Linked DNA regions of Nothobranchius furzeri. The protein of the gene in region 1 interacts with the protein of each later gene in a biochemical or structural test. Links are inferred from orthologs where the notes say so. Each region holds a gene or a part of one and is shown in the gene's direction. Other genes may lie near its edges. The genes, in order: topbp1 and ticrr.

Region 1 (12,148 bases):
TTTCCCCAGAATGCAAAAAGCACTAGATTATTTATAAGTCAGAATATTAAATGAATAAAATAACTGAAGGAAAGGAGAGTCTTCTGACACGAAGAATGACTTTGATTTTGAATCTATGTGAAAAACTAGTGCAATTTGTGAAATGTTCAATGTAATATTGCATATATAAACTTTCTATATTGAATGTACATTAAAAAAATCAGTCACAGTTGTACATAAAATTTTAAGAATAAAAGGGAATCCAAAGTGGTGATCTGTTTGTTCTTCATGGTGATTGATTTCACGTTCACTCGTGATGACAAAGATAGGTACGATATAAGATAAAATATTATAAACACTGCAGAGACGTCATTATTTATGAAATATACGTTATTTTCCTGAGCCATTACTTCAGCCAAGAAATAAGATGCATGGATTTGATGAAACCATGCTGTCTCATGCAGTCCCAAATGTGAAACACACACACACTGCAGCATGTTAGAATCTTTTGATTGGCTAATTTAACTACATTGAACTGCTTTTGTAAAAATGTAATCTCTTATTCTGGAGTAAAATAAAGAAACAAACTAAATCATCACATCTCTGTGGCATCAATAAGCATCTTCTGAGTTCAAACAGGGATGGAGCACAGTGTTTACATTTGAACAATATCAGGATGTTTTAACCCACGGAGGCCTGCAGGTCTTCTGTTTTATGAGCAAAGCGCTGAGAATCCGCTTGTTATGAGCGCTGAACGTTATTTTGGTGCTTCCGTGCGGAGCGGTAGGGAAACATTTCAAACACGGAACCGAGCCTGGTTACCGAACCGAGCAGAATTCGGATGACGTCACACCGGTGCGCGAAGGTGCGGGTTCCAACCCACAGGAGAGGAGGGATAGAAGAGGTAAACAGCGAGTGGATCACAGGGACAGAACTGATGTTTTAGAGCAAAACTGCGGTAAAAATGGCTGTTTGTCTTCATTATCTAGATTGCCCCCCCCCCCCCCCCCCCCCAACCCCTGAGACGCGGTGCTCATGCAGGCGTCCCTTTCTGTTCCGACGCTGCTACACGTAATATTTTTAATTTATTAAGCCTACAGTTTATTTTTACTCAGTAACGGATATGATTTAAAATGTAGCTAATTAAAATTATTTTTTAAAAACTTACTCAAGTAAAAGTACAGATTTTGAAAACGACTTAAAAAGTATAAATACACAAAAAACCTACTCAATTACAGTAACGTGAGTAAATTGTAATTCGTTACATTCCACCTCTGCCTTTGTGTTTGTCCCTTTAATGACGTCATAAAGGGCGTTGTTGTGTCGTGATCGCTTCAGCTCCATTACCAGTGACGTCAGACTCGTCGCTCAGTCCACACGTTTACAGCGGGACGAACAGATCTACTCTTTACTTTCAACATGTTATCGCCTTTTAGAATGGATTTAGTTCATCTGAACAGAAAATTAAAGATGGAGAGGTTTAAAATACAAAAGAAATATGAAGATTTAGGAAAGCAAATTCTGAGAGAGCAAGAAGACATTTCTGCAGAGAAACTCAGGTTAAAAGAGAAGCATTCTGCGGAACAGAAAAAGCAACATCTTGATCTAATTCTTGCATTAAGACAAGAAAAAGATGCGGTTTCTGCTAATGATAAAACAATTTCTGAACAGGGCTTTTTAATTACAGAGCTCCAAGATGAGATCAAACCCCTAAAGGATTATAAATTAGGGTGTGATACGCAGGTAGTCCATATGTACCGAGCAATTAAACATTTTTCACCCCGTACCATAGACAATGAAGAACTGCAGTTCAATTCACCGGGTCCATCGAGTAAGATAAACACGTTTACTGGTCTTGAGAAGAAAAAATATATTTCAGGTCATTTAATAAAAAATCAAAGAAAAATTCAGGAACTTGAGGACACGCTAGAAACCTTGAAAAGTCAAAGGCGTATAGAAAACCTTTTGTTAAATGGAGAAGAGAAAGATATACAGGCTTGGTTGGATGCGGACATAACCTTCGATGATTGGAGGTTAAAAAGGTTAAAGCAACAAAGACGGTTGATTCCCCAGGTGACTTCGATGGAACAGAACACGTTGGCTCAGATGGAAAAATATAACCAGTCAATTTGTGAAAAACTGGCACAAAGTGAAGCTTTCTGTGAACGATTAACAGATAAGCTAGAACAGCTCAATACAGCTTTAGCAGAAACAAAACAATTATTATCTGATTATAAGCAGGAAGATCCAAATCAGGACAAGGATGAGAAAATGGCAGCCTTATTGGAGGGGCTAAGTATAAAACGTTCTCAGCATCCATTTCCCTGGGATCAAAAGTCTGAAGAAAGTAATGAGCCAGAAATTAGTCAAGACATAGAAACAGCAGGGGAAACCTTAGAAACAGCAGGGGAAACCTAACTCAATAGGTATAGTGGAGTGGAGCCTAAAATCAAAGGCACACATTGAATTTATACTAACTAGTGGGAGGAGCCGGGGAGGCATATTTACCGAGTGGGTGGAGCCTACATCACCCTAATATTATGATTTCAGCTTAGTGTTAGCGTCGTTCTTAAGCAGGTTTAGCAATCAGTTTCAGCAAACATCATTCAGACAGCATTTCTGTAAACATGATATTTGTCTAGTCCTAGTAACATTACATTAAAGTGAGAGTCAAGGCATGGGTGGAGACATATCTCATGCACACTTCCAGTTAGGAAACGCTTCTGATAGAGGCGTTGGCTGGTGGATGGAGAGCAGCGCTGAGGCAGTGGTAGACGCACTGTCGGAGTTTCTCAGTCTAAAAACAAGTTGCGAGCACGCGCTCACACAAGACTTACCACTCAGGAGAAAAGCAGACAGATTCTGCAGCATTCATTTCCTGTTAACCGTGATCATTAGATGAAAAAGGGGAGAAGGGCATTTTTTTCAAGGGTTTAAGCAGCTAGAAGATATAATCTTATTTACATTTTACATGAATCGTAGCGTGCCAGAACAGAGCGTGGAGTCTCTGACATAATCTGATGGCACTGTTGGAATTGTCTTGCTCTTTATAATAGAAGATACAATCTTATTTACATTTTGAGAGACTTCTTTATCCAGGACTCCCTTCAAAGTCATACCACTGCTGGACTTTTCATACGGCATCCCTAAAACAAGTGCCATGCACTCACTTACGTCTTCCACCCTAGCAGACACGACACACTTATAATCTCCCATGGTCTGCATATATGTACAAATTTAAGGCAGCATAATGCATAAAACCTGTGCTGAGGCTACCCGATACATTTCAGTAGCCATTTCTTTAAAGATGCCTTCAAATTCTGTGCCTGCCATACCAGAAATCTGTATTTGCCACTGATCTGCTCTGATGTCAGATATATATTTTAGCAGTGTTGGTATGAAAACATTCCTCCCGAGGGAAACTGTATTTTCAAAAATAACTTTCTTCAATGAGTTCATTTTCGGTTTTTAAAAAAGGTCGTAGGCTCTTAAGGTGTTGCTGGCTTTACCGCTTGCTGTTTATGCCCTCTGACTTCTGACTTGACTAATTAGCTATGATGATGTCACAAAGGAACGCATTCCAGATGAAGTGAAGCACTTGTCGTGTTAGTGTTGTGGGCGTTATTATTATTATTATAATTATTATTATTCGATTATTATCTCACGCACGCAGGCACTGTACGTAGCACCGCACATCTCACGTGAGAGTGTATGTATGCATATGTCTAAATACATGTTTGTATGTATGTATGTACGTATGTGTTTGTAGTCATGTAAATATTCTCCTTTTGTGTTAATTTGGTATACATTTTTTCTCCTTTCTTGCTTTACGTTATTGTCACGTTTAGGAGAGAAGGTTGGACCCAGGATGCGGGGTCATGAAAGTCTCGGGGGCCGGGGCGAGGAGGGAACAGGAGGCAGGGTCATGAAAGTCTCGGGGACCGGCGACGGGGAACCAGGAGGCGGGACCATGAAAGTCTCGGGGGACGGGGAACCAGGAGGCGGGACCACGAAAGTCTCGGGGGATGGGGAACCAGGAGGCGGGACCACGAAAGTCTCGGGGGACGGGGAACCAGGAGGCGGGACCACGAAAGTCTCGGGGGCCGGCGACGGGGAACCAGGAGGCAGGGCCATGAAAGTCTCGGGGGCCGGCAACGGGGAACCAGGAGGCGGGACCATGAAGGCCTAGGGGGCCGGCGACGGGGAACCAGGAGGCGGGAGCAGGGAAGTCTAGGGGGCCGGCGACGGGGAACCAGGAGGCAAGGCTATGAAAGTCTCGGGGGCCGGCAACAGGGAACCAGGAGGCGGGACCATGAAGGCCTAGGGGGCCGGCAACGGGGAACCAGGAGGCGGGACCATGAAGGCCTAGGGGGCCGGCGACGGGGAACCAGGAGGCAGGGCCATGAAAGTCTCGGGGGCCGGCAACGGGGAACCAGGAGGCGGGACCATGAAGGCCTAGGGGGCCGGCGACGGGGAACCAGGAGGCGGGAGCAGGGAAGTCTAGGGGGCCGGCAACGGGGAACCAGGAGGCGGGACCATGAAGGCCTAGGGGGCCGGCGACGGGGAACCAGGAGGCGGGACCAGGGGAAGTCTAGGAGGCCGGCGAAGGGAAACCAGGAGGCGGGAACAGGAAACCCTGGGGATCGGGGGCTTTGGAGGGGGAGGCCGAGGAAGGGACTTCAGCGGACGAGGAAGGGTCTCTGTAGACAGGGACAGAGACTGGAACACGTGAGACAGGGACAGGGACTGGAACACGTGAGACAGGGACAGGGACTGGAACACGTGAAACTGGGACAGGGACAGGGACTGGAACACGTGAAACTGGGACAGGGACTGGAACACTTGAGACTTGGGAGACTGAAACGCTTGAGACTTGGGACGTAGACCTTGAGATAGGAGACAGGTAGACGTCGACTTCAGAGCTGGAGCTGTTAACATCTACTTCTGTCGACTTCGAGACAGGAGGCGGGGAGACAGCGACTTCAGAGCTGAAGGCGGGGAGACGTCGACTTCAGAGCTGGAGCCGGAAACGTCTACCCCAGAGCTGGAAACGTCTACCTCAGAGGCGTCGACCCTTGGACAGGAGGCGTCAACCCTTGGACAGGAGGCGTCGACCGGAGCCTCTTGGATGGACTGGACCGGAGCCCCTTGGACGGGCTGGACTGGGGGCTCGTGGACGAGCTGGACTGGATGCGCAGTGTCCTACGGGACCTCCGCTGAAGCAGGATGCGATGCGTCCTCCGGGACCACCGCTGGAGCAGGATGTGATGCGTCCTTCGGGACCACCGCTGGAGCAGGATGCGATGCGTCCTTCGGGACCACCGCTGGAGCAGGATGAAGCTCAGACGCGGGTCGCAGAGCAGGGGCCTCTTGGGTAGGCCGCACAGCTCTGGCGTCTGATGGATTCATGAGTCTTGGCTTGGGCTGTAGAGCAGGGGCCTCTTGGTTCGGCGGCACAACTCTAACTTAAGATGGCTTTATGAGCTCAGGTTTGGGTTGCAGAGCAGGGGCCTCTGAGATAGGGGGCACAACTCTGGCTGTAGATGAGTTCAGGAGTTCTGGCTCGGGCTGCAGAGCAGGGGCCTCTTGGTCAGGCAGCACAGCTCTGGCTTCAGACGACTGGATGAGTTCAGATTTGGGTTGCAGAGCAGGGGCCTCTGGGTTAGGCGGCACAACTCTGGTCTCAGGAGACTGCTGGTGATGGCGATGACATCTGCGACGAGCACGGCTCCTCGGAGGTGCGGGGATAACGCCGTAAACGCCCACTGGACCTGGTGGAGGTGTGGTGGCTTGGCCCATTGGAGGTTCCGCGATGGCGCCGGTCGAAACAGACGGAAAAGAGGAGTGACAGCCCACCGGAGGTGGAGAGGTGGCGCTGTCAGGACCAGGTGAAGGTGAGGTGGCTCGGCCCATTGGAGATATTTTGTAAGATAGGACTTTTTAATGCCTCATTTACTAAAGTACTCTACTGCATTGTTATTTTTATATTGTAATCAGTGCAAAAGGTCTGTTTATTGTGTATAAATTTGTAACACGGCCATAGACATGATTAGCACACTGCTGTTTGATTTTTGCAACAAAAAAAAAAGTATTAGCAAAAAAACTCCGATATTTTTTTTTCATTTTGATTGTGTGCCACTGTAAAATTGCATGACATTTGAATAATAAGCAATTAAATATGTACAGGTTCTCTAAAGAGTCCCTTTTTTTTTACATATGCATGATCATTTTATTGTGCCAGGTGGCAGGTCCCAAATTTCTTCAGGAATGTTATAGTTATTATTATTATTAGCCACAGAGGCGATGTTCTACTCGGACAGATTAGCAAGTAGGACCGGAAGTTCCGTGAAAGGCGCGAACTGTCAACAATTAGCTTAAATTTTCGTACTATAAATTATTTGTATATTTATTTAATGTTGTGGCGATTTTATGCCGGTTTGTCCTAAAAAAACGAGTTTTACATTTTTTCTAAACATTTTCACGTTGTAACCGGCTAAGTTAGCAGCAGCCATTTAAAACTCAACATCGTTTGTTATAAAAAGTTAGTTTTTACCGAATTTAAGTAGAAACGGAAATGTCTTTATATTCACTACCAGCCGGAGTCCAACCATAGGAGGTGAGTATAGTCCATGTTTTTAGTTATTAGGCTGATATGATCAGGCTAAAAGTGAACATTAGCTAGTAACTTAAGACTTATTACAGCTGAAGCTTTAGTCTATAAATAAATTCCTGTAATTTTAGATACTGCTTCCATCAAGTGGCAACTGTAACATACTGTGTTTATTCCAAGTTCAACATGCTTAAAGGAAACAAGGAATGCCTCTTAGTGAAGTTTGTGGAAAGTGAAGGATCTCTGACAGATCATGCCACCAAAGCGTATGAGGTAAATCTCACTGCCTTGCTTAATGTTTGTTTATTTATTTGCATTTAGTGATTCTAATTCTGTCGTATTTTATTCAGGCCATTTTGGAGCTGCAGTCTGAAAAGTATTTACAAACCATTAAGGAAGAAGATGTGCTGCAGATGAAGCAGAAGGACAGGTCTCTGTTTGTGTTGAGCAGCTTCACCTCTCCAGCTTTCCTGCACTGTATGCAGGTCTGATTCCGTTTGTCACACTCTGAAATTATAAGTCCTGTTGGGATTATTGAAACTCTTTGAGGAAAACTCTTCTTTTGCCTCCGTTTGTCCTGCAGCTTGGCTGCAGAATCGTGAGTCCACTGGTGGTGCTGTACTGCTTACAGAATCAGCGCTGTGTCCCCAAAGCAGAGAAACCTGTGTATAATATGGCAATGGCTGATGTGACCATTTCCTGCACCAGCCTGGACAAAGCAACACGGGTTAGTTAGTTAGTTAGTTAGTTAGTTAGTCTTCTTAATGTAATTTGAAGACTGTTGCTTTTATTTTCTAATTTGTGTTTCTGCAGACAGAAGTGATGGATCTGGTGCAACTGATGGGTGGACGGGCCAGTCTTGATCTCAATGTGTTTGTCACGCACCTGATTGCAGGAGAGGTTGGAAGTAAAAAATACCTGGTGGCTGCCAACCTGGGTAAACCCATCCTTCTGCCCTCGTGGGTCAAAGCCTGCTGGGAGAAGACCCAGGATAGGTGTTCAGCTTGATTAAACTAAAAAATAAAAACGGCTAATTCTAAAGGTTTTGTTCTAAAACCACCTCTTTACACCATTTTGTTCCCAGTCTTTTAAGGTATACAGACTTGCCAGTGGAGGATTATCTGTGTCCCGTGTTGCTTGGCTGTACAGTTTGTGTGACGGGCCTCTCCAGCCTGGAGCGTAAGGAGGTGCAGCGGCTCTGTGAGCAGCACGGAGCTAAATACACTGGCCAGCTCAAAATGAACGACTGCACACACCTGATTGTTAGTGAACCAACTGGTAAGTCACTAACGGCTTTGGGGAACTTGTTGATTTATTACAAACCCTCTAAGAATCCGTTTTATCGGTGCTCCAGGTCAGAAGTACGAATGCGCCAAGAAGTGGAATGTTTACTGCGTGTCTGTAAACTGGCTCTTTGACAGCATAGAGAAGGGTTTCTGTCAAGATGAGAGCAGGTACGCCGTGGACCGCCGTTCATCAAAAACCTCCGCACCGCACACCTCTACTCCTACTGGCACCAGCAAGCGGCAAGGTCGGCTGCTTGCCACGCGTCTTTTAGTTATTTAAAAATTGAGCATCTTTAATAATCACATCTGCATTTTGTCTCTAGATGGTCCGTCTCTGCTGGGCTTGAGCAACATTTCTGTCAGTGCTAGCGTTGGGGTAAATGACACTGCCCTCACCAACTCCACCGTGAGTCGTGTGGAGACGTCGGACCCCGTAGATTGCCTTGATCTCACCGTTTGTCCTGTCGATGATGTTTTGGATGGCTGTAAGGTAAAAACATAAACTTTTTTATTCTCTATAGTTATTTTAGTCAATTTGAGGTGATATTATTGTTGTTCTATTGCTGCACAGCTGTATCTCTGTGGCTTTCCGGTGAAGAAGTTGGAGAAGCTGCGGCGACTTGTAAACGCTGGCGGAGGTCTGCGCTTCAACCAACCCTGTGAGGAACTGACTCATGTGGTGATGGGAGAGCTGGACCAGGAGCTCCACAAGTTTCTCTCTAAAGCCACTTATAGGTAGAAATAATAATGTCTGGCTGTGAAACAAACAGAATGAACGTGTGAATGCTGGTGGTGACAAGCCTTACAGATTTACTGTAATTTACAAATAATTCTTATTTAAACAATAAAAATGTGCTTTAAACTTTTAAAATGTCTTGTTTTGATCTTTTAAACAATCAAGGTATTAAAAAATGTATTCCTAAATAAATCAGTATGCTTTTTAGGGTTAATAAAACATTTGATCTTTTGTTTGATCTGCAAAAACCGGAACATAAAATAAACAATTCTAGAAACGTGAAACTGACCTGAAATAAACTAGGTGTGTTTTTGTGATTCTCCAGGCCTCATGTGGTAACAGTGCAGTGGCTGCTGGATAGTTTCTCTAGAGGCGCTCTGCTCCCAGAGGAAGGATACCTCCACCCTGACTGCCTTCCTCCTGCTGCAGCTGCAGCATCCGTGCCACCTCCCAGATCATCAGCCGGACCGCTTGTTCCCAGTCCAACCACTCCCAGGTTAAAGACGGCAGATGAGGATCTGCTCTCACAGTACATGGACGGCGACCCAACAGTTGGTGGGAGTGTGCTTTTGCAGGATTTATTCTGCATTAGATGTGGGGGTTTTTAAACAAAGTACATTTTTGTGTTTTAAGTTGACGTGCCACCACCAGGAGGAGAGAACAGGGAGTCCATAAGCACCGCTGCAGAGCCCCAACCCGAGTCGTGGGAACCCAATCATACCAGAGCAACGCAAGACTCGACCCAGCAGGAAGGCCTGTTTGCCGGCAGGTCCTTCCTCCTTGTGGGTTTCGATCCTGAAGCCGAGGCGCAGTTCTCCGTGCTGGTTTCAGAACGAGGAGGCAAGGTACTGCCGGCCCGCACTCGAGCGGTGGCGGACTACGCCGTGGTTCCGCTGCTGGGCCGCTCGGTGGAGGCCACGGTGGACGAGGTCGTCACGGATACATGGCTGGTAGCAAAGGAACAAAAACTTTTATTTCTTTTGAGACTTTGGCATTTTTTATATTAAAGTTTTCCTGTTGTTGATTTCAGGCCATGTGTGTGGAGAAGGAGTGTGTTCTACGTCTGTCCGCCAACCCTTTGTTTGTCCCCGTCCCTGTGAGGGAGGGACATTTTCCTCTAAAGGACTGCGTCCTCTCCGTCAGCCAGTTTACTGGAGCAGAGAGGGAGTCCCTGGTGGAGCTCGCCAAGTACCTCGGAGCAAAGTACGACCACTACCTGCTCGTTGTTTTCTGAGTTTAACCTGATGCATCATAGATCTGAAATGGGACATTTGCCTCATTGCTTCATAAACGAATCACTGATGACCCCCCCCCCCCCCCCCCCCCCCCCCCCGCTGTAGTGTGCAGGATTATTTTGTGCGCCTGGCCAACCAGAAGAAAGGGATGCTGGCCAGCACTCACCTGGTGTTGCAGACTCCTGAAGGCACAAAGTACCAGGCAGCAAAGAAGTGGGGGCTCCCTGCTGTCACCATGCACTGGATTCTGGAATCCGCTCGTACGGGCAAGAGGGCGGCGGAGGAGAAGTACCTGGTTGACCTACCTCCTTCTCCAGGTTTTTCTCTTATTTATTTATTTTTTTGGTTCGTTTGAGAACAAAACCTGTCTTTGCTTTCCCAACACCTCAAATGTCCCTCGTTTGTAGAGAGAGATGAAGAGAGCTTTGTGGGCGGCTCCCAGAAACCCATCCTGCCTCCGCCGCGTCCACGTTCCCCTGAAATCCCTCTGCTGGGTCCGCAGGGCGGGAAAGCCGTCACCCCGCTAGACCTGGGCCGCTTCCAAAGCAAAGTGTTTCGCTCCGTGCTGGATGAGATGAAACCCGAACAAAACCAGGAGGACAGTAGAAGGAGGCGGCCTCAGAAGGAGCCTCCTCTGCAGCTGGACACGCCATCTCGGTTCCTGAGCAGAGATCAGCTCTTCAGACCGTCGTTTAACGTCGCGGTCAGACAGCAGCAGACATCCACACCGAACATTCCAAACTACAACATGTCATAGGCTGGGTTTTATTTTTGTAGGATGCACTGGGAGCTTTGGAAACGCCTGGTGGGCGATCAAAGCCAGGAGAGAAGGTGGAGACGCCGCTGACTGATGTCATCAACCGGAATCTGAAGGTGGCTCTGGCCAACAGCTCACGTGGGAACATGTCAGACCTCCAGGCCGTCACCGCCAGCCCACAGCTGGCCAAGACGACAGAGAAGGAGGTAAATATGTCCTAAACCTGCTTTTGGTTCTGCTCTTGAAAAGGTTGGAGTTTCTCTTTCAGCACCTGTAACTAATATAAATGTGATTCATCATCATTTTATCCCAAAGGCTCCAGAAGCAGCAGCCAGACCTCTGACTGGTGTTGTGATCTGTGTGGCGAAGAAGCTCAGCAAAATGCAGAGCGAACTAAACGCTGTTGCTGCCTCGCTGGGAGCTGACTTCAGGTGCTCGGCCTTCTGGGAGTTTTTAGTTACTAACCTGATGGATGTTTCTGTTTTAAACAATATAAACAAATGGGGCTACACTGGGACTATTACTGGGATAACCAGATCGTTCAAAAACACCTTTGTTTTTCAGATGGGCTTGTGATGACACGGTGACCCACTACATCTACCAGGGTCGAGTGGGGGACAGCTCCAGGGAGTACAGAGGGGTGAAGGAGAGAGGGCTGCATGTGGTATCTCAGTACTGGCTGCACGCTGTGAGTCTCAAAAATGTTTAAAGTCGGCTTTATTCAGTAAAGTTTTGTAAAAGTCTAATTTCTGTGTACAGATTTTTGATTTTGACACAAATAAAACACTCGTGTGTGTGCGTGTGTGTGCGTGTTTGCGTGCGTTCAGTGTGCCGAGGAGCAGAAGCACGTCTCAGAGTCTCTGTATCCGTTCACCTACAACCCCAAGATGAGCCTAAACCTGAGCCAGGTGCCCAGCAGCTCCCAGAAGTCTCCGCCTTTCCCACGAACACGGCTCCGAGACAAACTTGACAAGGTAGCATTGGTCTAGTGTTGCAACTGATGTTTTCCATCTCATGTCTGACGGTTCTGTTTGTCCCGTCAGTCTGAGCTCCCCGCTGCAGGAGCAACCTCAGCTGTGAGTAACGGAGGCGACGATCACGATGAGAAGAGAGGTGACGTGTGTCCGTCTTCTAGCTGCTTCTGCGTTTATGACGAACCACGAGGTAACAGAGGCCGTTTCACGTTTCAGACATGCTGGAAATGGGGGAGACCCTGCAACGACAGCTGCAGGAGATCATGTCCGCCACCAAGATAACGACGGGCAGACGCACGTCTGTGAGACTGGCTAGAATGGGATCAGGAGGTGCTGATTCTGGTCCGAACACACCCGACGTGAGCCGAGCCAGCCGCGGCGGGAGCAGACGGACCCTGGAAGCTCTCAGGTGGCTTTCTGTTGAAGCTAATTAAGATATTTCTATGTGAAACTTTAGTGTTTACATATTTTCCCCCCAGAGTTTCCAGAGAAGCAGCCCTGGACATCAACACGGAGCCGTCTCAGAGCGAGCAGATCGTCTGGGATGACCCAACGGCCCGGGAGGAGCGGG
Region 2 (12,003 bases), on another chromosome or scaffold:
AACAGAAGCAATGTCAGTGCGCCCCAGGGCAGTTGTGGCTATATCGTAGCTCATCATCATCATTGTGTGAATGTGTGTGTGAATGGATGAATGATACACTGTAGTGTAAAGCACTTTGGAGTCCTTACTGTGAGAGGCGCTATACAAGTGCGGGTCATTTATCATTATTAAAACGTTTTTCTAAAATTTCAACCTAGTCTAATCAGTCCAAATCAAATTCAGCTTCAGTCAGCTCTGTTGCAGTAGAATGCAATGATGTTTCAAAAGCATGAGCAGTATGAACTATATACTAAAAACATTATTTGTGGTTTTCTACAGGACAGGTGACCTCACTGATGAGTGCATTGTGGAAGAGTCCCCTGTTAAACCTGCAGAAGGTATCGTGTTTTAACCCAGATGTTTTCTTTATGAAATTATAGATTAATGTTAGGGCTGCACGATATTAGGAAAACCTGCGATATTCGATAACAGTGCTTAATATTGCGATATCGATATTACTCACGGTAAATGAACAAATACTAAAGTATGCAGTGTTGATGTCATCTGGCGTGTGACGTCTGCTCTGGGTTCAAAGCAAACAAAAACTAATGCATGAATTCCATTACAACATAACATTTTTATTGCAAAACTATGCAGCTGCACCTGCTACTGTATTAGCAGCAAAACAACAAACTGCATGCATGCAGTTTCTCAGTGACTTTTAAACATCACCTCCACCATAAAACTTTTTCTGATGCTCCAAATACAGAAAAACATCCCTTACCAGGGTTTTTAGAATAAATAAAAAAATCAGAAAATAAGTTTAAATGTTAAATAATAGTTAACATCACTTAAATGCAACAGCAAATTCTCTCATTGCTACTGAGCATTTTCTCCACTTATGTGGTTATGATATAAGGCTGTTGCTGTAATTGGGAAGTGAACTGTGCTGGGCCAAACTAGGAGAATAATAAGATTTTCTGAGGGAAAGAGAAAAACAATTGTCTACCTTTCAGAAGAGGAACTGGCAAAAAAAACCATGGAAAATGTGTGAAAACGTTTGTTTTTAACCCCAAATTGAACAAGTTTACCTAGATCTTAAAAAGCAGCTCAGATGATGAAACTGCAACTATGATTCTGATAACAAGCTAACAAATTGAACTAGCTCCTCTAAGACAACCGGCTAGCAGAGCTTCTGACTGACAGTTTATGTGCAGCAGCAAATCAACTATCCTGATTAACAAGGTTATAAAAGCTCATAAATGAAAAATCACTTTGATGTGTGGGGGAACTTTTCCAGGCCCTCTTTAGCAGGGTGGGACTGGGAGGAGAGTGCTGTAGCCTTTTAGCTGGAAGCTAACTGGAGCCTGGGGCTAACATCACCACCCGGTAGAACACTAGCGACATGAAGGTGGGTTGGTTCACCGGCATGTGTCGGAGTCAGCCCGGTAAAAATGATTAACGACACAGAACGGACTCACGTTTGAAAGCAGCGCTGAATCCAGAAACCTCAGCACAAAGTGCGTTCGTTTTTCTGAGCCAGCATGACGAACAAGGGAACGGCGCCGCTAACTCAGTTTGGGTGTTGCGTTCCATCCTAAGGGTAGGGCGGGCGTATTACGTGAACGGACCCATTTGATTGGCCGCATATCAGAAGGGCTACATTTGATTGGTCAAATAATACTTCTGCGTAAAAAACAGAGCTGGTTTACAAAAAGCTGATGTATGACACGGATGGAAATGTTTGAACAAAACATTTATCGCCGTTTTTAATGTGCTTTGCGATGGGCCTATCGCACGTCCTGTTATCCCGATTACGATAATTTTTCGATATATTGTGCAGCCTTAATTAATGTGTAATCTTGTTTATTCATTCATATATACTCAGTGGTATGATTATATACACATGATTTTATGAAAAACAACACAGGGGTGGGTTATATGGTGATATAGAGTCATGAAGCACTGGAATGTGTTGCTGATGCCTAAGTGTTTCGCCTACATATACTCAGGTTGAAATTCCAGTGGCACTGCTGCAAGAACAAAATAACAAATATTCATGGTCAATTTGTGATTTCCTGGATAAGTTGTTTTTGTCAGATTATTGGTTCATAAATGTAGTGGTAATTAAAAATGAAATTAGCCAACACTGTGAAATGGCCATTCTATAGCTTAAAGAGCAAATTGCAGGTTAGAGACCCCATGAACCAATGTTTAAAGAAACAAAAGAAAAACTCGATTTAAACATTTTTTTACACAAACATAAATTCATTAGGCTTTTACAGTCATTTTTGTGAGAAATGTTTTATTTTCCAAACCAAGTGACATCAGCTGAGCGAGTCCTGTTAGCTTAATCCAGAGAAAAATATGGATTCTAATGCCGGCTCTGACACAGAGGAAACTTTAAATGTTTATTATTCTACTTATGATGCACCAAAACCATAAAGTTATGAGTTTGCTGCTCGCCCCAGAGAGCAGAAACAAACCTGAGGGAGAAACCATCGGCCAAAACAGAGAGATTGTGGAGAAGCAGTGAGGGAGCAGCAGGTGTCTTGTGAGTTAACGGTGCTAGCTTAAACTCGTGTACTAACATCACAGTGTTGGACAGATTACTACCATGTACCAGGCAATTAAAATAGTATCTGTTAGTTATTATAATATTAATACTAATGAGCGTCTGTCAGTTGTCATACTCGTTAATATCCGTTCACGTAACGTAGTTTAGCGTTGAGAGAGAGGCGCCTGTCATCCGGTTCTGGAGCTCATGCGGGCTTCTGTGAGCTGGATCCGGCCTAGACACAAGGGAGCCAGTTGAGCTGGTATTTTTAAAAGCCGTGCATCTTCTCCTGGTCGTCTAAGCGGCGGTTCTGATCCGGTTCCGACCCAGACACCAGCTCTACTGGCCCACTGAGCAGCGTGTCTCTTCTGGTGGTCGTTTCTGACCTGGTTCTGGTGGTGATCTGAGCTCCAGAAATCCGCATTTAATTTTTTAAACCCACCACGGGTCTCCAGAGCCCAGCGCGGACCTCCCTGTCCCGGTGCCGACCGATGTGGGCTACAGAAGTCCGTCTTTTCAGCTGTACTAAACGGCCTCAGGCCCGGAGATAGAAGCGTTGTTTCTTTTATCTGGAAACCCGTGGACTCGATGTCCAGACAGGCTGGAGTTGGTACAGCCTTCACAAACTATAGTATCAAAAGGAACACAACCCAAAACTAGCAAACACACACACACTGACTGGATCACATGACCTCTCTACCCTAAAACTACCCACTCTCCACACTGAGCTGAGGCAGCTTCTAGCTTCTAACTCCCTTTGGTTACGTCAGAGGTTAAGATTTAGAAAAAAGAGCCTTTTTAGAAGCTTTGCTGAGAAAGGCCACTTTTTACTAGAAAAACTCTGCCGTTATGTATTTTAAAAGGAAATATCCACAGTAAGCTTTTCAAATAGTATTTTTGGACAGCATTTTATATGAATTAGAAAAAAATGTATCTGCAATTTGCTCTTTAAATTAATTTCCACCTAATTTTGATAGCATTTGCCCTTCATGTAGATATTTGTTTCTTGGCTGCTTCTGATTTGTTTCTTTGTCATTAAATCAGAACATGAGTTTCAGTATTAACTCTAGCTATAAACTTGTTTAACTTGTGATTTGGTTTTGTTGCAGAATTGAGGAGGAGTCCAAGACTAAAGTCGTTTGCTAGAAGACACTCAAATGTTTTCTACTCGAGTTCTCAGCCTCGTTCTAGAAACCTAGAGAAGGCTCTGTCTGCATCCCAGCTCACGCTCAGTGACAGAACAATCCCCGGGATTAATGTTAAAGAGGTTCAGTCTCCTTTGCGTCTTCTTTTTGGAGCTGCTGATTCTCCCAGTCGTTCCTCCGTTGTGTTTGTTGAAAGCAGGACCACCAGGTCTCGCTTCAGCTCAGACTCAAGTGTCTTTGAAGTAAGATATCTCTTTAATTATTCTAAACCTCACGCACTTAAATGGATATGTCTAAAGTATTTATCAGACATGAAAATCTAACTTCATCAGATGGCATATTACCACACAATGTGATTTTCAAGCAAAAATTAGAAGAAAAGCCCAAATTTGTCTAATTTATTTTTATTTATTTATTTATTTTTGTATTTTTAGAGTCCAAACAGAACCCCAAAAAAGTCACTCAAACGTGGAAGGCCTGCTTTTGAAAATGTATCTCCTGGGACACTTCAGACTGCACAAATCTCATCATTGTCCACAATGGATGTTTCTTCGTTAGCCAAGAGTCCTGTAGCCGGCAGCTGTGGAGCTCCTGAAAGTCCTTTCAGACCTCCAGGCAGATCAGAAGTTGTTATAAACACACCTATCCAGCAAAGTTCTCTTACGAGCCCTTTAAAGGGTATCCTTAAGACCCCTGTTAAAGCTTCGATTCAGCATGGCGCCTCCTCAGGATTACATCTACTCAACAGCCCGGCATCAAGGACTCCTAAGAAGAGTGTTACATGGTCACCGTCTCCTCAAAAATATAGACTGGTGGAGGGCAGCACTACTTTTAAGGTCCCCAAGTCACCCAATATGGCTTCCCCCAGTTCTGAGAGACAAATGAAAATACCCATAAACAAGATGAGTCCTGTCCAAAATACAAACACTAAAAGATGTGTTTTTAACGTCCCAGGAAAGACTTGTCAAGTGAACCTGGTAAGATTCTTTGAACATGATTTGAGTCCAGAGAAAAATCATTCATGGGAAAAATATGTCAAATTGAAAACTCCTGAAAAAGATGAGAAACATCTGGAAATACTCCCTTCACTGTCCCCAACACCTTCAGACCAAAGGATCTCTCCTCAGTCCAACAGCAGAACTCAAGTAAAGAGCCCTAGTCCCACTCACAGAATGGTTACTCGCTCTGGACGAACTCCGGTGGGAAGTTCAAAAGCTGCATCCCAGTCTGACCCAACATTTCCCCCTTCAGGAGTCTCTGAACTTTCAGCCGGATCTGATTCTGCCGTTAAATTTCACGAAAAGAGCTTGAGAAGAATAAGATCTGGTCATAATCATGGAACAGCTAGAAATGACTTGGGATCTAAGTCGATTGAGAGTTTAGCCTCCCGACTAACGTCAGCCTTTCCTGAGAACCATCCCGTTACTAAAGAGGAGCAGGCAAAGAGCAATCAGTCTGCTGGATGTGACTCCAGCGTTCATACCGCATCGCAGGAGTTTGATTCATCCCATGGGAATTCTGCCACCACAGACGATGATAGTTTGGATATTGTTGATGCTGCAGTTGTTAAGGCTGAGTTTAATGAAGGCCTTAAAATGAACATTAGCTTCTCAAGGAAGCCTTCAGTGTCTACTGAAGAGTGTTTGTCAAACAGGGGTTCGCCTGCTCTACAGTCTCCTTCACACAACACACCTGGCCGGAGGTATGGCTTTCGACAAACCCCTGACCGCCAGCAGAGGGAGGCTGCTGCTCGTTTAGGATATGCAAATGAGTTTAATCACTTTTCAACCCCTAGAGGCCCAGCAAGATCCAAACAGCTAAAAAGCACCATTACTCCAAATCCACTCACCTATCAAGTTGAATTAGAAATGCAGACATCAGGGCTTCCCAAGCTCAAAATTAAACGCAGAGATTCCATGAGTACTGATGACTGTACTGATGGAAGTCCCTGGTCAGCAGCTCAAAGCTCGTCTGTGGGTAAAAAACTTAGCATGGAGAGTCCAGCGGCTTTATTTTTAAAGCACAGAGATACTGGATGTAGCTCACCGTTTGTCTGTGGTCATGTCACTCCAGCCAAGAGCACCCCTGGAAAAGGTGGTAGTGTCCAAACTTACATCTGCCAGTCATACACACCTACACGCCATGCCACAGTAGCGTCTCCGGTGACCACTGCGGAGATTGGCCCTTTAACTCCTTCACCTCAAAGTGTGGGGAAAGTGACTCCAGAAAATCTCAACAGCTGGCCTCGCAAGAAGAGAGCCCACATCAGAGTGTTTGGGGGGAAAGAGCAGGGCCCTAAGGGGGAGCCACAGCTGGAAGAGTTGTTGGAGGAGGCTGAGCTTGGTGTCAGTAGGTTACAGGACTTCGAGGACATCGACGAGCCTTCGAGTCCCACAGCAGAAAAAAAGGCTTTGAATTCCGAACAGTCACCCCCAACTGCTGCAGATGTTTCTCCTCTTTCACCACTGGAGGATTTGTTTTGGATGGAAAGGCTGGCTGAACAGACCAGCTGTGCTGATGCTCAGAGAGCTGAAGAAGTCCTCTGGGCCTCAGACAGCTGGGATGTCACAACAAGTAAGAGCATTTCCACAGTTCACACAATGGTTTCGGTTTTATTAATTTGAAAATCATGATGTAAGGTTATAACCACATCATATTGGTATTTTGTGATTACATTTGTACAGTCTCAAAGCAGGTTTTCAGTTCCAGTCTAGACATTACCATTCTCTGTTATTTGTATCTTTTGGGCTGTAATGTCCCCCAAAGTTTACAGATGATTGGGTTCATTGGCATCCCCAAATAATCGTAGCTTGTTTATCTGGATAATGACTAGTAAGCAGCCCAGTGTAATGATAATGAACTAGTGAGATGGATTGACGAGGAATGTTGGGCTGGGAAGGTGGTGGCAATGTTGAGAAGGTCACTCAAAGGAGGAGCATGATTATGGATGGCATTGAATGTAAATGGTTAAAGTTCCATTAGTCATCACACACCAGTAAAATTCATCTCCACATCTGACTCATCCCCGTGGGGAGCGGTGAGCTTTAGCTATGGCCGTGCTCATGAACTATTTGGTGGTCCCCCCCCCCCCCCCCCATCCAGCGCCTTTAATCCAAGTATCAGGCAGGGAGGCATTAGGTCCCATTTTTAACGTCTTTGGTATGACCCGACCGGGATTTGAACCCCAATCTCCGAGTCTCAAGGCGGACACTCTACCACTAGATGGATGTTAGAAAGTTTTTCTGATCCTGGCCACTAGCCAGTGGTGTTAATGGAGGACAGGGGTGATGTGATAAGAGTGGGTTTGAGTGATGAAGCAGGTTACTGATTTCTGGACCAGCTGAAGCTTATGGAGGGATTTCTGAGTGAAAAGCCTAGACAAGAGTTACGGTAATCAGTGTGGGAGGTAACAAGACTATGAACTTGAATGGGTGCAGCATGAGTTGAGAGAGAGTTGGTAAAGTTATGAGGGAGGGAGAATGGAGTCGGGTTTACTGGAGTGGTAGAGATTTCACCAAAGGGGAAGATGTTGGGCATAAACTAAGGAGCCCCAGGATGGAACCCTGTGGCACACCACAGGTAATAGGATCTTAGGGATCTTAAAGACTTAAGTTGAATGAACTGGGTGTGACCCAGTGTGTCTCTGAGATGGGCTTCGTTGTCTCATCCATGACTGAACAGATTGAAGCAGGTTTAGACACATTTTTGAAAGGTTTGAAATCATAAATGACTAAAACTGAACTGAAATGTTTTTTTGTTTTTGTTTTTTACATAAAACATTTGAGAAATCTTTGATCATGGTTATGATGACCTTGAGCTGGAATTTCAGTAACTTACTCAGCTCTGTTTTCTGTATTGTGGTAGCAGTGACCCCGTCCAGCATGAAGAAGATAAAACCAGTGACTGCAAGTGGTATTTTGACCCTCACCCAGTCTCCGTTGCTGTTTAAGAAGAAAGCTGATTCTGCTTGTAAGGGAGCAGCAAATTTTAAAGGTAAGATGTAAACATGACTACAGAATACGTGTTTTCATCCTTAAACTGCTAATTTATCTTAGATTTCAGGCACCTATAAATGAGCAAGCTATTTTAGCCAAATATATGATGCCATAGCTGCCTTACTGTAGTTTCAACTCGTTAACAGGACCTAGTTATTCCTGAGAGCTTAAACAAGATAAATAGAGTAGATATTGCATGATGCATACTGCAAGTAAACTCATCCTGTCTTTGTTTCCCCCTTTGTTGTAGAAGAAGCTGCTTCAGGGACGACAGAAGTAGTTGCTGAGCAGTCCCCTTTCAGACAGCCAGTCAGACACTCAAACACGGGGAAGACCTACAGCAGAAAGAGGCTGCTTCACTGAGCCAAACAAAAAGCCTGCACGGCAAGCAGAGAAAGACCCGAGCTGTTATGAAAGACGCCTTCTGCCTGCTCTGATCCAAATTCACTGGTTGATTGGTCAAAACTCTGGGATTTGAGATGAAGAGTGTGGTTTAAAAAAGATTATTTTTATAGATGTTGGAAGTTGATTTCACGTTTTGTTGTAATTACGATTCTAAGGTTTCCATGTTGCCTGTTTTTTTTTTTTGTTATAAAATAAACATTTGGGTAAATAATGTCATTTTATTTATTTTTTTAATTAAGAATTGTAACATGTTACAGTCAAGTCATAGTCTAACTTCAATATTGTTTATTTGTTTAGTTTCATATAGAATCTATTGATATTGATAAAATCACTGATATTTTTAATGAAATGGGAATGTCCAACTGTTGTAAATATGTTGCCTAAATTTTGTAAATAAAATTTATTGTTTTAAATTTATTGAAAAGCAAACAGTTGTTCTGTGTATTGAAACTTTAACCAGATTAATTTTTAAGTTTCAGGGACTAAAGTGGGTTTATCGAGAAGTGTGACATGGTTTCTGTGTATTCACCTGCTTTTCAAGGGTTGTGCTGTCGGTCTGATAACACAACTACTCATGAATACATGAGTCTGCACCGTTAACCAAACAAAAGCAAGCTCATTTTGGCACAGTTTTCAGTGTTATTGCGGAACAGTTTAAGGCTGAGGCATATATATTATCTTTTATTTATTTGTTTGCTCTAAAGACAAACTTTGTAAAATTGCCCTTAAGTGGTATTTTATTTCTAGTTTTCTCACTTGTGGCTGAATATTATTTTAGCTGCATAAACTGCATAGAAGCAGCAGCTTCTGACTGGTCCAGGAACACGTGGTGGACGGATTTGGTTCATGTTGTGAACTTTGTACTTGGATTTTCCCACAGAAGCTGTGTATTTGCAGATTCAGGTTTGTTCACAAAAGGCTATCAGAAAGTGCATTTGCTAAAGTGCTACTTATACAACCAATTATCTGATGTGACCAAATGACATGACAATGTTGGGTCGATGGCTCCTGAAGTCTAGGTTGTTCTAATGTAACTGGGTAGGAAAAAGCTAAAACAATATGGGTGCTTCAGTAATTCTAACTTAAATGTTCTTTATAAAAACCATACCTAATGGATAAAAGCTTGTTTGCCGTGCTCTTCAGTAGTTGTGGTTGAATTTCTGATCTGGGATGCACTTCTAGATTTGGTGGCTTTTATTATTTTTGATAAGCATGGTTCAGTGCACACAGGTGCTGAGTCTAATAAAATTATGACAGCTGAAGAGTTTGTCCTTTGAGGGGTGCCCCCAAGGGGGCCCATGGCCGCCCTTAAAAAAATTACTGGCCTCACCCACCAGTAAACCATATTTGTGTCTGCACAAACAAATTAATTCTCCAATGTTTAAAATTGAAATAAAAGCATATACTTAATGAGTAAATGAAAGAATCATAATTTAGAAGATGTTTAAAGGTCGCTGCTTCTCATAACTTTCAAAGTGTAAATTTCCCGTTTTTGTGGATGTTTTAACGAAGACAGTAATGTCCATTAGACTCCTCCAGAATTCTAAAAAAAATATATGTATATATATATATATGTGTGTGTGTGTGTATATATGTATATATAAATATGAATGTATATATATATATATATGTGTTATATAAATATGTATGTGTATATATATATGTATGTACATATATATGTATATATATACATATATATATTTATATATACAATGTTGAAGTTGTTCAAATAACGGCCTGAAATGCCTTTTTATGAAATGTTTGTGTCTCAAATTTGAGGTCAAATGTGTTTGGACTTTAGTGAAATGAATTTAGTGTTTAGTATTAGATTAATCACCTATGGTCATGAGCTTTGGGTAGTGATCGAAAGAACGAGATCGCAAATACAAGTGGCCAAAGTGAGTTTTCTCCGAAGAGTGACTGGGCTCTCCCTTAGAGATAGGGTGAGAAGCATGGTCATTCGGGAGGGGCTCTGAGTAGACCTGCTACTCCTCCACATCGAGAGGAGCCAGTTGAGGTGGCTCGGGCATCTGGTCAGGATGCCTCCTGGATGCCTCCCTGGCGACGTTTTCCGGGCACTCCAACCGGGAGGAGACCTAAAGGTAGACCCAGGACACGGTGGAGGGACTATGTCTCTCACCTGGCCAGGGAATTCCTTGGGATTCCCCCAGACGAGCTGGCCCAAGTGGCTGGGGAGAGGGATGTCTGCCCCCATGACCCGACTCCGGATAAGTGGATGAAAATGGATGGATGGTATTAGATTAATTGTACCGCCTCTGGCAGACAGAGTTAGCATAAGGAGGACCAATTATTCAATGCTCCACCTCCACCCCAAAATTTTCTCTCAAGAACTAGGTTTCAAGAACTCTAGAAGGCGCTATATCAAATACAGGCCATTTACTATTTACTTTAAATCCAGTATGCGTGACGTAATGAGGAAGTAAACGCAGGTTTGAATGACTGGCGTAACCTTGATGCAGTGTGAAACAGATGAAGAAGCTCTTCTGTCTAATGAAATAGAAAACAGTGGACCAGTGGGGGACCTAACTGTATTATAGCGTTTTCACTGATGTGATGTGAATCATAGCCTCACTGATGATGGATGCTCGCCACGCACCTACTCACCATCAAGTTAGCCCAAATATAAGGTGTTGGACTTCCTGTAGTAAACAACCCCCCAGTAATCAAACGTTTTAAATGGTCAAATACTAAATGTTTAGTAAAAACTGAGAAAATAACGATTTTAAAACAAAACACGGTTTTTAAAAACGATAGCCTACTTTTCCTGCATATCAGTTCTGAATCTTATCTTCTCCCACACACCCACTTAAATGATTTTTAATAATGTTTTACTCGAAACACCTGCTTTAATTTCCATTAATCAGAAGTAGCACTTGTGTTGATGATTTCATCACCAAAAGGTCTGGTGTGTTTATGTTTTTATTTACTTTTGGACTAATGTGATGTTTAGCTACATTAATGTTAATCATCATGTAAAGTGTGTTTCTAAGCAGTTGTTGAAAAATAGAATTTAAATTGTCGATTTGTATTCAATTAAATTTAAAAATGCCCCCAGATGTCACCTCCTCTGCTAAAATGCAATGCATCATTTAATCTTTTTGATCAAGCAGACCAGATTTTTTACAAGTTAAATCCCGTTTTGCTAGTTCACAGCAAAAGTAATCTATAAATGAGTGTTAATCTTTTGCTCTTAAATTTCACCTGATATCCAAAAATCAATAATATCAGTAATACACAATCTACATTAAAGATATGGGTTCTCCTGTTACAGATGCAAATATGTAGATGTCGTGGTCAGTTGAGGGCCAACATGTGCTGCTGATTTTCACAGCTGATATCTAGATATTTTCTAACTTATTTACTTACTAAAACATGTCAGAAATATCAGTAGACACAGAACATTTCTGAACATGATTCAGTTTTTTTAAACTGAATTTAACAGTTAAATCTTATTTTGTGTTAGAATAATTTAACCAAAGTTAATAACTCCAATTATTAAATATGAAATGTCAGTTAAATGTAATGTTTTTGATGTTTATCAGGAATGTAAATATACGTTAATATAAAATTCAGGAGCGGCTCCAGGCTGCCCATGCCTGTATTGAAATCGGCTCTACTAGAATGGGCGGATGGAGACAACATATCGTCCCTGCTGTATGAGCCAAAGCAATATGGCAGCCTATCTCTTATTTATATAGGTTTTCGATCATTCTAAAATGTTCGCTTTAGACCATCATATCAGGCTACTTTCAAGATTATTAGAAACATGCACAACAATAGTCCGAGTCCAGAAAGTTTCCACGCATGAGCTTTTATTTTGAAACCTAGCGTAGCTTCCGGTCCGTGTCGTGTGTCTCCATCCATCTTGACGATCCTCCTTGAAACGTTCTCACAATTCCAT

The links.
Region 2: the proteins of topbp1 (region 1) and ticrr form a complex in vitro, tested with the Homo sapiens proteins (2 studies listed by BioGRID). The link is inferred for Nothobranchius furzeri from reciprocal best matches to the Homo sapiens genes TOPBP1 and TICRR.

What each region holds. Positions count from the first base shown.
Region 1 is NC_091747.1:45,071,872-45,084,019, forward strand, and holds the start of topbp1 (DNA topoisomerase 2-binding protein 1), read left to right. Parts: upstream 1-6,401; 5' UTR 6,402-6,595; intron 6,596-6,769; 5' UTR 6,770-6,775; coding exon 6,776-6,862; intron 6,863-6,939; coding exon 6,940-7,074; intron 7,075-7,172; coding exon 7,173-7,316; intron 7,317-7,402; coding exon 7,403-7,584; intron 7,585-7,673; coding exon 7,674-7,867; intron 7,868-7,943; coding exon 7,944-8,120; intron 8,121-8,198; coding exon 8,199-8,365; intron 8,366-8,446; coding exon 8,447-8,610; intron 8,611-8,936; coding exon 8,937-9,166; intron 9,167-9,244; coding exon 9,245-9,561; intron 9,562-9,641; coding exon 9,642-9,814; intron 9,815-9,951; coding exon 9,952-10,163; intron 10,164-10,253; coding exon 10,254-10,549; intron 10,550-10,623; coding exon 10,624-10,809; intron 10,810-10,918; coding exon 10,919-11,034; intron 11,035-11,167; coding exon 11,168-11,291; intron 11,292-11,430; coding exon 11,431-11,577; intron 11,578-11,646; coding exon 11,647-11,716; intron 11,717-11,793; and 3 more. UniProt on the Homo sapiens protein: Scaffold protein that acts as a key protein-protein adapter in DNA replication and DNA repair. Composed of multiple BRCT domains, which specifically recognize and bind phosphorylated proteins, bringing proteins together into functional combinations.
Region 2 is NC_091744.1:54,998,795-55,010,797, forward strand, and holds the end of ticrr (treslin), read left to right. Parts: intron 1-318; coding exon 319-377; intron 378-3,645; coding exon 3,646-3,923; intron 3,924-4,115; coding exon 4,116-6,255; intron 6,256-7,545; coding exon 7,546-7,674; intron 7,675-7,926; coding exon 7,927-8,039; 3' UTR 8,040-8,170; downstream 8,171-12,003.